Caenorhabditis elegans: one gene and its partner. The protein of the gene in region 2 interacts with the protein of the main gene of each other region in a pairwise test. Each region holds a gene or a part of one and is shown on either strand. Other genes may lie near its edges. The genes, in order: R01H2.1 and K02E2.7.

Region 1 (2,726 bases), on a different chromosome or scaffold from region 2:
TTGTAGCTGATTTGTTTGGGGACTCACTTTCCCATATACACTGGAATTTCATGCTGGCGATCCCAAAGAACAACGCATATTGGGTACTGCACCAATTCGACTTGATTTGCTGGAAAAAGTTAACGATTACTGCATATATTCTCACTGATCCTACCATTCTTTTCATTCATCGGAATTTTCACAGGTTTGTTAGTTCTCTTTTGCTTCTTGTTTCGGGACTGACGAGACTTTTTGCCGAGCAATGTTTTTTCCTCTCTGAAAGTTTTAAAAAGTTCCTAAGCTTTATTTAAACTCAAAAACTTACGGTGTTCTCAAATAAGTCTTTTTCGGAGAATTTCTGAATGATAGAAGCCCAAAGTGTTGGAGATGACTGACTTTTTTGGGATCACCAGTTGCCGATGGAACAGCATCTTCTACAGCTAAATCACCGAAACCTCCAGCAACAAACAATGAATTTAGATTCATCGTAGCCTGAAACAAACATATTTTTAGAGGTTTCTATACATACTTCTTTATGTATATTCAAAAAACAAACCACCAAATGCTGTGAAATCCTACTCGATGGGAAATCTTTAGTCTTCCAATGTGGCAGATAGATTGACATTTTCGGCGAGGTATTATTCTGAAACCAGAACTTTCAGTATAATATAATCCTCTAAACTTACATCATTCGCTTTTCGAACAATACATGGACAACTCGAATCATAATAGTTTGAAACGAATTTTCGCATGACTTCTAGAGAGCATAATCCCGACTTATAACCATAAAAAACGAGCATCAAAAGTTGTCGATTTTGAGCAGGAACCATTACAGTGTTGAATTCTGAAAATTTTGTTTAGAATCAGATCGAATGTCCGGTAACAATTACCAAATTTTCCTCGATGAATCTTAATGGGCTCTGCAACAGATCCATGAACTCTCACATATTCCAAGTGATTCCACGTGTAAACATGTTCACCATCAAAGTACTCATCAGGCATCTCAACAACTGCATGATTTATCCACACAAGTATCGGTGCCTTTTTCTCATCTTCATTTGGATCTTTATAATTAATTCCATGTTTTGGAACTGGTGATGATAATACAGGAATCAGTGATGCAGATGCTTTATTATTTCCAGTTTGACATGCTTCATCCTTTTTTTGTTTTCTGCAATTTCCCGACGATTGTGCTTTGGAACTGAGCTCATCCACTATTTTTTGTTGTTTCATCCGATCTAAATGCGACAGATCACGTGACCACATAGACAGGACCTTTTGTGACTTGGCGAATTCCGTCTGAAAATTTTGGTAACTTTTTTCGAGTGTTATACTTTATTGTAAAAATCTTGAAAACTTGCAACTTCACTTTAAAAGCACACGTCAATTCTCTCGTTTGGTCTCGCCACGCAGTACTAACTAGCTCCAAAACTCATATTTTTATTTTATTTTATGAAACTGGATTTTTCTAAATTTAATATTATTGAATTCTCAAAAATATAAATTAGTATCTTTGCAAACAAACGGCACTAGAAGTGAGAAGAGCGTAAAAACTAAAACTTTGATATGCCTACAGTAGCCGGGGTTCTACACCAAAAGAGCAGTATTGACAAAAGACAGGCGTAGGTGGCCTTAAAGGCAAGAACGCGTTTTTGTGCCAACATGTAAACAAATTGATAATATGATGGCTTCTGGCAAGGCAACAAGCCTATATAGCCACGCTGAAATCTTCCTCCCATCCAAACAAGAATCTGGAATCAAGAAGAAAAGCGGAGAGGAAACCCAACAGACCAAGGGAGCCACCATTGAATCTAGCCGAATCAACCAAAACCGTGCTGAGAGGACACAGAGGTTCCAAACTCAATGCTCAAAAAGAAAACCATACGAGATTCGTCAGGGAATTCCTGAGAGGAGCTCCTCCAAACAGGATCCTGGGAACAAGACCGCCAGCATTGAACATCGAGGAAGAGAAAATCCTTCCGAAACCCACGAGAGTTGAATTGGCAAGAATGCGATGTGGCCACTCACTGATGATCCCCAAATACAAGGAGAGAATTGAAGGTACCCCGGTTGGTACAAGTGGTTGTGGGGATAAAGAAGGAGGGATAGTACACTTTCTATGCGGAAGAAGAAAACCAATCAAGATGAAGAAACTGTGGACTTCCCCCAAAGAGGCCGCCCAAGCAATTGGACTGGCCGTCTAGACTCTACGATCCGGGTGGTGGAGACGCGTGACAAATGTCTATTGAGACGGCGTAGGCCGCCATGTTGCACGACAACAACAACAACATGATGGCTTTGGATGCGCTATACTACAACTACAGTATCCCAAAACAGCAGACGATTGTTTTCATGTACCTGAAATATTTTAACCTCAACAACTCAACCCAGAGTAAAACCACTTTATATGAATTTTCCCATAAAGTACCTCTAAATTCCTCGTGGCCCATCTTCTGACTTCTCCGAATCCTTCAAACACCTTTTCCTCGACACGAAACAAACGGAAAAACTAGAAAAGTCAAAAAAGATTATTTAAGAAAACATTAGATTTGTCAACCTGAACTGTATTTTCATTATGTGGATTCACATAACTCTGATGTGCATATACACGTCGTGCTCTGTGATATTGTCCAGGTATCAATAGAGTTCGAGTATCCGCACTCAATCTGTGCACATATCTCAGAGTGTGATCAATAAGATTATCTTTCTGAAATGTTAAAATGAACTGAGTCTTCCAAAAACACGTA
Region 2 (4,879 bases):
AGAAAAAATATGTACATACTTATACAATAATTTTCTTTATTTTTCAGAAATAATCCTTGTACCAGTTATCTGCAACGGGTTTTAAAGATGGAAGGGTTGTGAAACCTCATACACGATATCTACTCAAGTTTTAATTTGATTTTTAAAATTTATTTAGACACCTCATACAGAATATCTGTTCATATTTTTTTATTTTTTGTCAATGAATCGATTGTTTAAATAATTTTAATAGACACTCAATGAAATATTAGAAGTTTGCTCAGAAAATTCCAGAAAAGGTCTGAAAACTCTACAAAAAGAGCCATTTCAGAAAGTGTTTAAATAATTTCAGAAAAATACAGATTTTAAAAAGTAAATTCTAAAAATTCTAAAAAGTTTCAGAGAATTCCAAAAAAAATTTTCGAAATTTTTCAAAAAGTTTTAAAATTATTTAACAAATTTCAGAACCTGTCAATGAAATACCAAAAGTGTTTAGAATGACATCGGTTAAAAGGTTAAAAGTTCTATGAACCAGATTTTCTTATGAAAAATTGAAATTCGCAATGAATAAGCAAGTTTTCGAAATATATAGTAAGTGAGAGATTTATTGTGAGGATTTAAGAACACAATACCTAACTTAAGTTATTTGTAAAAAACTATTGCATTAACTTTTCTGTTTAGCTCCTCAAGCTTTTTCTTCTGCTCCGCCCGTTTTTTCATGACTTTTTCCATTTCTTCCTTGTGACGTGCAGCTTGTTCTTGGAGCATTGTGTGGAAATTGTCTTCCTCTTCATCGTCGCTAGCTTCTTCTTCAGAGATTTCAGTTTCAATATTTTCTTCAGCTTTCAGAGCATTTTCGAGTTGGTGAGAGGAATTGTTAATTGTTTCAGCAGCGTTTTGCTCTAGTTCTTGCACAAAAAGTTTCAGTTCTTCTTGATCTTGATCGAAATTTTCTGTACATACACATGTTTATACATAATAAAAAATTTAACTAACCTGTTAACATAGTATTCTTGTCCATTTCTTGTACATGAAGCTGCAAGTCTTCCAAACTTGAATCGTCAGTTTTTTCAGAACCTACAAACTTTTTTTTAAACAAGTTGTTTTTTTCAAAAGTGTGAGCTAACCAAACATTCCGCCATCCATGTCATTTATAAGGTCATCATGTATTGAGGGTGGCGGGGAAATTGGTTGAAGTTCCGGCTCCGGGCTTTTGAAGTTTGAAATCATAGCCAGTTGCTCTTTTTCCTCTAGATCCAGTTTCCTCAGCTCCTCTTCAAGCTCTCGTCTTCGATTTTCCCGCTCTTGCGATTTTTTCTCAAAATCTTCCAGGACTGGTTTTTGGACTAAATCAGAGTTTTCTGATACTAAGACGTCTAGTTTTAGATTATCAGAGGGTTGTGCTGAATTTTTTTTAGACTTAAAAAAAATTAAACCATACCTCGAGTTTCTGGAGAATTTTCTTTGGGATTTTTGCGATCACGGCTACGGAACTGCAATGAAATAAGTCAGAAACGTTCAATCTTTGGGAACTAGGCATGACTTACAGAAGAATAACGTGCACTTCCTTCAACAACATAAATTTGAATTTTCCGTTGCTCTCTTGCTTTCTTTATAACATAATCTACGGAGTCGCGAAATTTCCAGTAAAATCTGCTCCAATCCTGAAGTCAAACATTATTTAATGGTGGACTACATACACCCTGTGGGGAAATTGCTTTAAAAAATGCCTTTGGGGTCACAATGGCCGAATATCATGATAAAAAATGTAAAAAATTTTTCTAGATTTTATATGATTTTTTGAAAATTGAGAAAATCTCAGTTTTCCCCTAATTCCTATTTGAATTTCCGCCAATTGAATTTGTTCGATGGAGCGCGCTTGCATTATTTTCATTATTTTTTTATTTATTTTCATTATTTCACTGATTTTCTTCATTTTTTGGGGATTTTTTACCGGAAAGTGAAAGAAATAAACAAGAAAAATGCAAAATGTTTATTAAAAAGTAACTAAAAATGCCTAAAACTCTGAATAATATTAATTTCAGGCTCATCGTCGTCGGATCGCATAATTTCAGAGTTTAAGGCATTTTCAATTACTTTCAAATAAACATTTTGCTTCTTTCTTGTTTATTTCTTTCATTTTCCGATGAAAAACCCCCAAAAAATAAAGAAATTCAGTGAAATAATGAATATAAAATAAAAAAATTATGAAAATAATGCAAGCGCGCTCCATCGAACGAATTCAATTGGCGGAAATTCAAATAGGAATTAGGGGAAAACTGAGATTTTCTCAATTTTCAAAAAATCATTTAAAACCTAGAAATTTTATTAAAATTTTTTCATCATGATATTCGGTCATTGTGACCCCAAAGGCATGTTTTAAAGCAATTTCCCCACAGGGTGTAGTCCACCTTTAATGTGTATTTTTATAAGAAAGTGGCTCAAATGTAAATCAAATTAATTTAAACTCACTCCATTTAAAATTGCCCAGTCAACATCCCTGTAAAAGCTAAAAACGTGACCATAATAGTTGTATCCGCGGCCAGTATGAATTAAATATTCCACGCATTCCATGAAGTTGCTTACGCAGTAGTGGAGTACGGTGTCCTTGAACGTTACTTTTTATCAACTGCGCCGTAAAAGCTGAGTTACCTCCGGTAGTCTGACAGTTTTCAAATGTACGGCTAGATCTTCGAACTCACTCTTGTATAAGTCGTAGAAAAGTTTATAACTTCCCTGAAAAAGTTAAGAATTAAGTCATCAATTTGGAAACTACCTTACTTCTTTAACACATTCACTGAATAAGTTTCTCATATCTGGTGTAATATGAAAAGATGGAATTTCCATTATGAAATCGAATTAATAGAATTTAATGAGCAAGAAAAAATATGTCAATTACAAAACTGTGACTCGAAAAGTATTGCTATGTATGTCTATGTTGGAAGTTACTGATAAGAGTTTGATGTTTATGCAGAAAAACCAAACGAGGAGTTTTCACATCTAAGGAATTAATAGTGATGTTAAACTGAAATATCTATTCCTAGTACATTATTCTGTTATCAGTTTTTAACCGCTCAGAAAGTAAAGAGTATTCAATTTGTTTGTACGATTGCTAAAACTGAAAAATTTTCACATCCTGCTTCTGGCCTTTGTAAGATCATAGCTGACTTCTTGTATTGGAATTATTGGAAAATTATTATTATGCGATCTTCACTCATTTTAAGTTACGAATTTCTTATTAGTTTTTTAATCGACAGACTTAAAAGTCTCTCAATTGAAAAAAAAGCACAACTCAAATCAAAATTCATGTTTTTTTTTACTTTAGTGAATGTACGGCAAACTTTTTTTCAAATAAAAACACTCCTCATACAATTTCTGCAACCTATAGGTTGATTACAAACTATATTGAACGATTCCTCACTCCAAAATGTTTCCACAAACAAACTGTTATCAGTGATCGATTTTCAACATAGGCCTAGCAATAAGTTAACCTTTGGTTTTTTTCTTTCAGCACATCAGTTCAGTTGACATTTTGTTTCTTGATAACTTTCCGCAGTGCTTACAAGTTAAATTCGTGAAATTCCCAGAATGGATTTCGCTTGTTTTTATATTACACCGGAAATGATACAACTCTTCAATGAATGCTCCCAAAAAGTAGGAAAAAATTAAGTGATAACTCAATTTCTAATTTTTCAGAGTAAATATAGAAAATTCTATAACTTCTACAGTGCCCAATTCAAAAAACTATCAGAGAATTTAAAAACTGTCGATTTACCAAAGGTAACTTCAAGTTTTCAGTTAGTTTAAGTCTTGTTCACCAGAAGATTCATTTATTGTTACTTCTGTGCAAATTCTGTGGAATCACAAGAGTTTAAACATTTTGTAGAACTACACGGTCACATATTGCGCTCATAACTTTATGGAATGTTTGAAGTATCTACTTAATCCTCACCGAAATTATACTGGATACGTTGGTAAATTCTACGAAGACGTTGAATGGGCTATTTCAAACAAAGTGGGTTTCATTTTGATAAGTTTTAATATGATGAAACCCACTTTCCGTCTTTTTGCTTGGCTTCGAGTCAGATATCTATTTAAAACAAATGTTTCTAGTAGTTGGCTTTAAAAGTTGATTAATTTTGCAGGATTGGGATAGGTTCTACTGGAAGTATCGGGAGTCTGTTGATTATGTCTTGAAACAAGCCAGGGATCAACAGAAATGTTACACTTATGTTGTTGTGGATGACAAATTGTATGTTACTGTAAGTTTAAAAATTTGTCTTGGCAGTAAGATTTGCCAAATATTTTTATTCGACTTTGTGTAAATTGAGAGACAATTGTATTGCAGTTTCATGACCGGGATTTGAATGTTAAGAGCCTCCTACGTCACGAAAGAAACAAAAATACGGTAGGAATGCGAATTTATTACATACAGTGCCGGCCAATATTCTATTCATTTCCAAGTTTTCGGTGATTTGCTTCAGCTCTTCGAACATGTGTAGCTCAAAAACTATAACAGTTAGCAAATTATTTTTATTTAACAAAATGTTTACGGTTACTTTATCTACACTTTCAAAGTTGCCAAATTTGTATAACTATGTTCAGAAAAATGTTCTAGGTGCTGAAATTCGGCGCGTTTGTATTTTGACAGGAATTTTTTCATGAAACAACATTTAATATTAAAACAATATCCACAATTGCGTCTACATTTTGCAATTTGTTTTTTGTTCCAAAGTGCTCAGGAACATTTATAAAAAGATTAAACCTACATTAGAAGGGTCAGAATTGACAGCTTTCTCTCATAATGCGAACAAAACTTTTTTTGAAATTAAATTCTGAGTTCAAACAATTTCATACATTTTGCAACTATTTAAGCTTTTGATGAAAAAACTGCTCTGTG

What was found.
Region 1: the proteins of K02E2.7 (region 2) and R01H2.1 interact in a two-hybrid assay, tested with the Caenorhabditis elegans proteins (one large-scale study listed by BioGRID).

What each region holds. Positions count from the first base shown.
Region 1 is NC_003281.10:7,061,217-7,063,942, forward strand, and holds R01H2.1 (Ovule protein), read left to right. Parts: upstream 1-1,663; coding exon 1,664-1,978; downstream 1,979-2,726. Other genes in the region: R01H2.4 (SERPIN domain-containing protein), read right to left, coding at 28-109, 155-255, 305-471, 536-622, 666-823, 870-1,278, 2,408-2,488, 2,537-2,686.
Region 2 is NC_003283.11:20,384,148-20,389,026, forward strand, and holds K02E2.7 (Cilia- and flagella-associated protein 251-like), read right to left. Parts: upstream 2,896-4,879; 5' UTR 2,827-2,895; coding exon 2,761-2,826; intron 2,716-2,760; coding exon 2,632-2,715; intron 2,587-2,631; coding exon 2,452-2,586; intron 1,644-2,451; coding exon 1,527-1,643; intron 1,473-1,526; coding exon 1,421-1,472; intron 1,326-1,420; coding exon 1,107-1,325; intron 1,057-1,106; coding exon 976-1,056; intron 933-975; coding exon 622-932; 3' UTR 583-621; downstream 1-582. Other genes in the region: K02E2.11 (Phosphatidate cytidylyltransferase), read left to right, coding at 48-85; F53H2.1 (SH2 domain-containing protein), read left to right, coding at 3,568-3,633, 3,676-3,759, 3,866-3,994, 4,125-4,241, 4,328-4,387.